Linked DNA regions of Bombyx mori. The protein of the gene in region 2 interacts with the protein of the main gene of each other region in a biochemical or structural test. Links are inferred from orthologs where the notes say so. Each region holds a gene or a part of one and is shown on either strand. Other genes may lie near its edges. The genes, in order: histone-lysine N-methyltransferase E(z) and polycomb protein Pcl.

The links.
Region 1: the proteins of polycomb protein Pcl (region 2) and histone-lysine N-methyltransferase E(z) form a complex in vitro, tested with the Drosophila melanogaster proteins (2 studies listed by BioGRID). The link is inferred for Bombyx mori from reciprocal best matches to the Drosophila melanogaster genes Pcl and E(z).

What each region holds. Positions count from the first base shown.
Region 1 is NC_085117.1:20,080,652-20,084,326, forward strand, and holds the end of histone-lysine N-methyltransferase E(z), read right to left. Parts: intron 1,648-3,675; coding exon 1,482-1,647; intron 1,044-1,481; coding exon 983-1,043; 3' UTR 560-982; downstream 1-559. UniProt on the Drosophila melanogaster protein: Polycomb group (PcG) protein. Catalytic subunit of the Esc/E(z) complex, which methylates 'Lys-9' and 'Lys-27' of histone H3, leading to transcriptional repression of the affected target gene.
Region 2 is NC_085121.1:6,822,342-6,826,178, reverse strand, and holds part of polycomb protein Pcl, read left to right. Parts: intron 1-24; coding exon 25-220; intron 221-649; coding exon 650-817; intron 818-1,538; coding exon 1,539-1,642; intron 1,643-2,328; coding exon 2,329-3,223; intron 3,224-3,837. UniProt on the Drosophila melanogaster protein: Polycomb group (PcG) protein.

The DNA.
Region 1 (3,675 bases), on a different chromosome or scaffold from region 2:
ATATATGTTAAAAGCCTCTGTATAAAATTCAATTATAAATTCACAAACTATCATAATGAAAAATGAGCTACACAGCCACCAGCCGTATTCTGCTTCCCTTTTGTCCGCCTAATTGCTGGATGCCTCGAGAGGCTATTCCAGCTTCACCGGTTTGGTGGGTGAGTTTACAGAACTTGCTAACACTAGCCTTAGCAAGATTAATGCTTTGCTGAATCTACCACCCGATCCCAATCGTGACCCACTGGGAAGATCTGCTGAGAAACTTTGTAGACTGTCTGTCAAGTTGTACGTTAAGCCCTTCGTCGCATTCCACGAGAATGGTGACAGCAGCTTAGGGTGCTAAAAATCGCCAAGAATGTTGTATACAGTGAGCTCAAAGTGGGGCTGTAAATTCGCACAAGCTATTTTATTTTTTATTTATTTCATTTACTTTAGATTTTGCATCCATACTATTCCATATTACATTCATTAGCATTTAATATAGTATACCAAAATTAAATAAAAAATTATTTAATTATATATTTATAAATATGTATTTGGTTTAATAAATAAAAAACAATTTGGTTTTATTACATATTTATTAAAGAAGAAGAGAGAAACGGGTTTTACCACATCTCATGCAATAAAATTATTTCATTATTAATTAGCCAGGTATTTAATTTAAACATGACGTGTCTAATGCTCTTCCCAATTCATCTATAATGTGTGCCGACTGAGAAGACATACCTTACTTTACATTTACAAAAAAAACAAAAGACATGCGAAGAATTCAAACCTGTGACCTCTCACAGGCAGGTGTACAAGAAACCGTGAGTTTTAATATTAATGTTACATTATGAGATGCCACATGTCACTTGTCATGTTCACTTATCTTCAGATGTCAAATTTCACATAGATAACATTCTAATGAAACTGTGAGTAGAGTTCACACTGACTTTCTCAGTGTCCTGCAGTCTTGGAGCGACTGCTATTTGGACTGTTCTCATAAGAACTCCATCTCTCTCTCGATTCCTACGAATTTCAATTGCTCAGTAGGTCCATATCTGAAAATAAAAATCCATTAGTTCAAATTACAATACAATAATCGAATGAATTTGTAAATAGCCCTAGCAAGGTAGTCAGCGGGGTGTGCTGCAGCTGTTTTGTTTTATTTTTCTCTGAAATAAATCATGTCTTCAGATTGGAGGGACAGTCAACCTGTCATGAATCAATATTTAGACCTTATGTCCTGAAGTGGATGGTGGCAACATATGCTGATCAGTATTTATCATTGAAGATCGGGCGCGCCACGGGTCAACACATAGCCTTCTTTGATGACGACATCACACCAAGAGTAGCGCAGGCACTCGTGCAAGAGCCTCAAGAAGTTGTAGGCGGTGCTCAGTTTGTGACATCACTGGTTACAAATATTGTACTAAGCTGACTATGAAGATCATCTCATGTATTTAGCGAATCATTAATAAAGTCCACCGTATTCTCACCTATAATCAAAGAACAGTTCTTCTCCAGGCTGGATCGCCCGTTTAGCGAAGATACCAATGCGATGGTCACCATTCACCATCATGACCTTCGCGTAACAGTTCGGGTTGATCGAGTGGTTCGCGAAACGAATCTTGTTACCTTTACGTGTCGCATCCACGACAAAATCTGAAATTTTATAATAAAACTAGCTGACCCGGCAAACGTTGTGTTGCCTTAAATAAGATTTCTAGGGAAATAATATATAAAATTCTCAAAAACCTCATTCAACCACATAATATAGTAAGCGGCACGGAAGTTGGCAAGGTTTTGGTGTAGTGGGGGTAATGTCGCGCATAGTGTACATTGCAACAAAAAAATGGTCACTTTTATTGCCCGCATATATGTTAATTTTATTTTATTAAATTTTTTATTTGTCATAATTTATTTTTAAGCCTGTGTGTTTAGAAGAAAGTTAAAGAAAAGAGAGGAATTCGTGAAGTGTATTAGGTGTTATAAATAAAATACAATTAAAAGTTAAAAAGTTTATTTAACAAAATATACTCAATATTAAAAATTATGTGTCGCCGTCGTCACTATCATTTTCTAATAGTGCTACCCCTTGGATTAAATTTATGGTAGGACCTGAGCTGGTGGAAGGAGTTAGCTCCTCATCGTCGACATAACGAAGAATCGCTGTCGTCACTGGCGTAAATAATAAAACGCTCAGTGACTGAATCGACTATAATTATGGTCATTGGTATAATTTGGTCCTGGCATTGCAAACAAATTTAAAACAATAACACTCGTAACAAAAACTCAATATAAACAAAGGGCTCCTACAACTTTAGTAGGCACATGTGTAAGCGGGAGCGAACGGAACGTGAACGCGGTGCGGGAGGGGAGAGTCGACTGACTCACTAATCGCGCGCTCGGAACGGTGCTACGTCTTTCCCCGCGTCCCGCTTGACAACCAAAGAGACCTAAAAAACGACTTCTGCGCATCTAACGACTCTTGCCAAGTTACGTGCCGGGGACTATACCTCATTATAACAAAAAAATATATAAAAAAAATTTTTTTGGGGTGAACAACCCTTATCACTTAGGGGTATGAAATATAGATAGTAGCCGATTTTCAGACCTACTGAACATACTATTGATACACAAATAAAACCAAAGGAACATGGCTGAAAAATATATAGTGAGTAAGACAGGAGACCGGCTTCGTCCTCATCCCTACTACGTGATGTTTGCTGGATGAGTGGTGACACCTGGCGGGGATAACTGATCGATTGATAGTTGATCAGTATGTAGTCGACCGGCGAGGGCAGGAGATCAAATTGAATTAAAAAAAAATCATAATTAAAGGAACTTGAAATTATAAACTCTGAATAAGAATTTATCATGCTACAATTATAATATTTGATTGCCATCTTGCAACCTTATTGCGGATCTGTGCATAGAATAAAAAAAATAAAAATCGTATGGAAAAATAGGGGTTGATCGCATAAGAGTGAAAATTGAGAGTAATAATTTTTTTTTTTTATTTTAAGTCATGACAAAATAAAAAATAAAATCTTGCCAAAAAATTTAAAATTTATAATTAACAAATAAAAAATAGGGGTTGATCGTAGAGGGGTGAAAATTTCAGAGTAATATGAAATTTTTTATTCTAAGTCATGACAAAATAAAAACAAAATTCTTGCAAAAAATTTTTGTTTTTAATTAGCAAATAAAAAATAAGGGTTGATCGTAGAAGGGTGAAAATTAAGGATTGTATGTATTTTTGTATGTTGTATCATAAAAAAATAGAAATTAAAAATTTTGTCTAAAAAATAAATAAAAAAATGTTAGGGGTGACTACCCCTAACATTTAGGGGGATGAAAAATAGATGTTGGCCGATTCTCATAGATACCGGATAAGCACAAAAAATTTCATCAAAATCGGTCAAGCCGTTTCGGAGGAGTATGGCAACGAAAACTGTGACACGAGAATTTTATATATTAGATACATGAAAAATTTAGAACCAATTTTCGTGATCATTTATTCCTAATTTATTTCCCCTACTAAGTGAAGAGTGTTTCGTGAGACCTGCCTGGTCTCACCGGGCTGCAGGCGCGCTCACGGGGTCGAGAGGATTACTAGCATCTGTGTTAGTAAGAGCAGTGTTTCGCTGAGTCTACCAGTACCGAGAGTGGATCGGAGGGCCGAGTGCC
Region 2 (3,837 bases):
GTGAAATGTTATAGTGGCTTCCAGGTTGTATATATTCGCTTGTGCTAGCTGTAACGGTGGTTCGGAGTATCTACGGCGGCTCGAGTTATGCTGGCTGGACCTGGCGCATCTTGCGCTATACAACCTCACCGCCTACAACGCGCCCAACTACTTTGATCTCGATAATGTAATCATGCCGTACATTATGGACAACTGGCACGCCCTGCAGTTACCCGAGAAAGTAAGTTTAAAATTTAATTTTTACCACCGGGCCGTAATGCAAATTGACGCCCTGGATTCATTCGTAGTGCATTTTTAGATCTTTTTTGATATTTTCTATCCAGCTATAAAATAAACTTCACACCATGGTATTTCCATCAGGTATGCCATATGGTCAAATGTTTACATGCGTTATTAAAAAAATTATCATTAAACCACACACAATTCTGTAGAGCAGTCCGTACTTCAATTCAAGCATGTTGTATGAAGGGTAGAAAAGCCATACCTCCAATTATTCCAATATAATGAGACTTTCTTATGTGTGATGTTCATGTGCTCAGCTAACAGGCTAAGTATGCTGTACGTAACTTTAAAAAATTCCTTTACATTTTAAATGCAAAGATGTATTAGCGAAATTGTTTACTTTTTGAACGTTTACGTTGTGAAACAGATGTGGCGAACTCCCGTAAATGAACGACGGGAGAAAATTCTAACAGCACTCACTTCGTCTCGAAAAAGATTCAAATGTGGTCGAGAGATGAAAAAACGAGCTACAATCTGGGGTCTCCGTCTCCGTCGACCTCCACCACCTCCGATGCAACTTTCAGCTTTAGAACAGGTAATTAATTATGTATGCAAGTAAATAAAAATGGTATCTGTCTGCGATATTGACACAAGTATTTTTAAAGCTCTACAACGGATTGATGGTTCTATGCCTATAACCTTCTCACAAACTTACAAAGTCTGATTGCAATTGGCTATACAGTGGCAGAGCTCAAAATACTGCTATGTGCTGAGGCTTAGGATAACATATGGAGATGTTTTCGCCAAAAGTCATCCTTTTTTACTTTCCTTTGCTCGAATTCAGTGTCAATAAAAATACGAACTACATGCGTACGTACAACTTAGACCGATCAATCTGAACCAAGCTTCAGTGGTGATGTGGCACAGACGGTGCACGTGCATACCCAAAGTATACTACTACTACTAGGTCTATAAAAACCTAGGTCGGGGAGCGCGGCCTTCCGTCACTCGATTGATCTTTTGCAGTGCGACAACGTGTCGGCATCTCGGGCTCTTTGCCCCCGCCGCGGTGAATGCGGATCGGTGCGGAAACAGAAGAGCTCTCACGCTCCGCTCCTACGTCATAGTGCACTCACAAAAAACGACCATCGCCTGCCTGAAACTTGAATACAACATCAACTATAGCCATTACTCATTAACGCTTAATGGTAACCCTAATGTTGGTCGCCGCCGCGACCTTATAATATTTATTGTGAGCATGGACTTGCTGTTCCATACTTTTTTCCGTTCAACCGTATTGTTTTCTTTAATCCTAGATAAAGAAGGGAGAACCATTGACGGACGACTTGGTGCAACAACACGCTCCCAGACTCCGGTTTCTACCTCGTGCTCCTACACCGAAATCTGTTGTTGATGATAGGTATTATATACTTTATTTCTTTCATTTCCTGAATTATGTGGTCTACCATAAGATATTCACGTTCATATAAGTCACCTTCTATATTAAAGTAGTACTACATTTTTCTTTCTATATCGACGGCTGAAAGACTATTTGGCTTAAGCGACATTTTTACAATTATTCAGCGAGAACTATTTAAAGTTTGGAAAAAATATCATGACAAAAAAACTTCTCCAGATACTTGGATGGAGTAAACTTAGTTGAAGTTCAATTAAAAACATAGAATTGTTGGTGCTAATACCAAATAAAACGCACTTTTAATTACAAAGGTAAATGTCGCTTAAGCCAAATAGCCTTTCACCCCTTGATATGATTCATTTTTGTTGTTAAATAATAATACAGAAGGGTAAGTAAATATTTTTTTTAGTTTCTATTCGTGATGGTAATTCTTCTACTATATTGTAAATCATTGCCACCCCTGAAAGACATCAGTAATACAAAGAACACAGCAAAGCCACCAACTTACTTGGAAAACGACAATAATGCAATTTTTTTTTTCTGATTTATAGAATACATACAAGCAGACCAGCATAGTAATTTGTTATTAATAGAATTGTTATTTTAGAACTGTCATTCACCAATTACCACTAATTTAATAACAATGAGTGATGTCCAACAGTTTAAATATTTTACTTTCTTTTTTTCAGTTCTCAGCCCTCTAGCAGCAATCCTGTAAAATGTTCCTATAAAAGTAACCATCAACGAATGATTGTTCCCGTTGATGGCCACTGGTTAAATTTAATGATGGGCAAACGGTTCCATGAGAACCTTAACTCAAACTCAAATTCAGAAAACGATTCTGCCAGTTCCTACGAGTCCATCAAGCTTATTGAGGCTGATGAACAAAACTCACCGTCCGTGTCTACAACTAATAGAAAATCTGAAGCCAAAGTTGATAATGTAGAAAATATAAAAGAAACCCGATCCAATGATAAACTAAGCTATGAAGAAGACCCTCCGATATCAGTGCCATCAGTAGTTCCGTGTTCAGTAAAGTTAGATAAAATATCCAAAGAGAATGTTGATCAGACTAGTATCTCTAAAAGTGAAGAAACTCATTTAAATTACAATGCCCATACAACAAGAATAGCTACAATGAATTTGGAAGTATCCAAGCTGTCCACAAAAAACATAATTGAACATTCCAAAATAATGTCACTGCAACATATGGAAACTGTACCATCATACACTAGCTTTAACCATGACCTAGAATCGTCTGGAGATGAAACTTCAAGTAGAGGAACTTTGGATGCTATTATACCGCCCCTGAAGAATTTTCAGGGAAGAAATAATCCTTTTTTGATGCAAAATACATCATCAAAAAAACCATTTTCGTCAATGACGAATATTTACCTTAAACCAAATAAAAAAGTGAACAATTTTCACTCAAGGTTTTCTTTGCCAGTACTGTTCAATCCCACAATGGGACCATTAATAAGACCTACGAAAAGAAAACTTAGTGAAAAGGATATTGTTATTGGACCAAATGGAGAGGTGAAGCGAAGAAAATATCGACGACCAAGAAAGTATTTACAAATGCAGGTGAGTGTTATATTTTTAATGCATATTCTTATTTTTCTAACCTGTTTAAAGTAATGTAATTATTATATCATTAACAAATATACTTTAAATCTGATAACTTTTGGAACTAATAATATAAATAGATTAAAAGAATAAACTAGGCCATGTAAGTAATCAAAGAACATATTTTTTGTACAATGAAGGCCAAGAATATCTGTCCCACGAAAGTAGTCCATTTCGTTTAAGTGTAGGCCAAATCTGCCAATAACTGTAATTCTTTCCTTTATCATTGTATAAATAATAAGAATCAAAGTCCTCATTAGGATTCTAAGCTTATTGCTTATTATTATTATTTTTGATTGTGGTTTCAAAATACTTTTATCATATAATTTTCCTAGTATTCTTTGCCAGATTATTCTTCATTTCCATTGACATTTCCTTCCTTTCTTCTAAGCCACAATGAACAAGGGTCAGCTAACTTTGATCCAGTAAGAGAAAGTTGATTGTTGGATTCATCTTGATTTCAACAACTTCAATTGTGTTATTTTCACTTCCTGAGAAGCTATGCCTCCAAGGGCCCAGCTCGTCGGACTGATAATTCCAATTATATTTATTTATTACTATTGTGACTATTC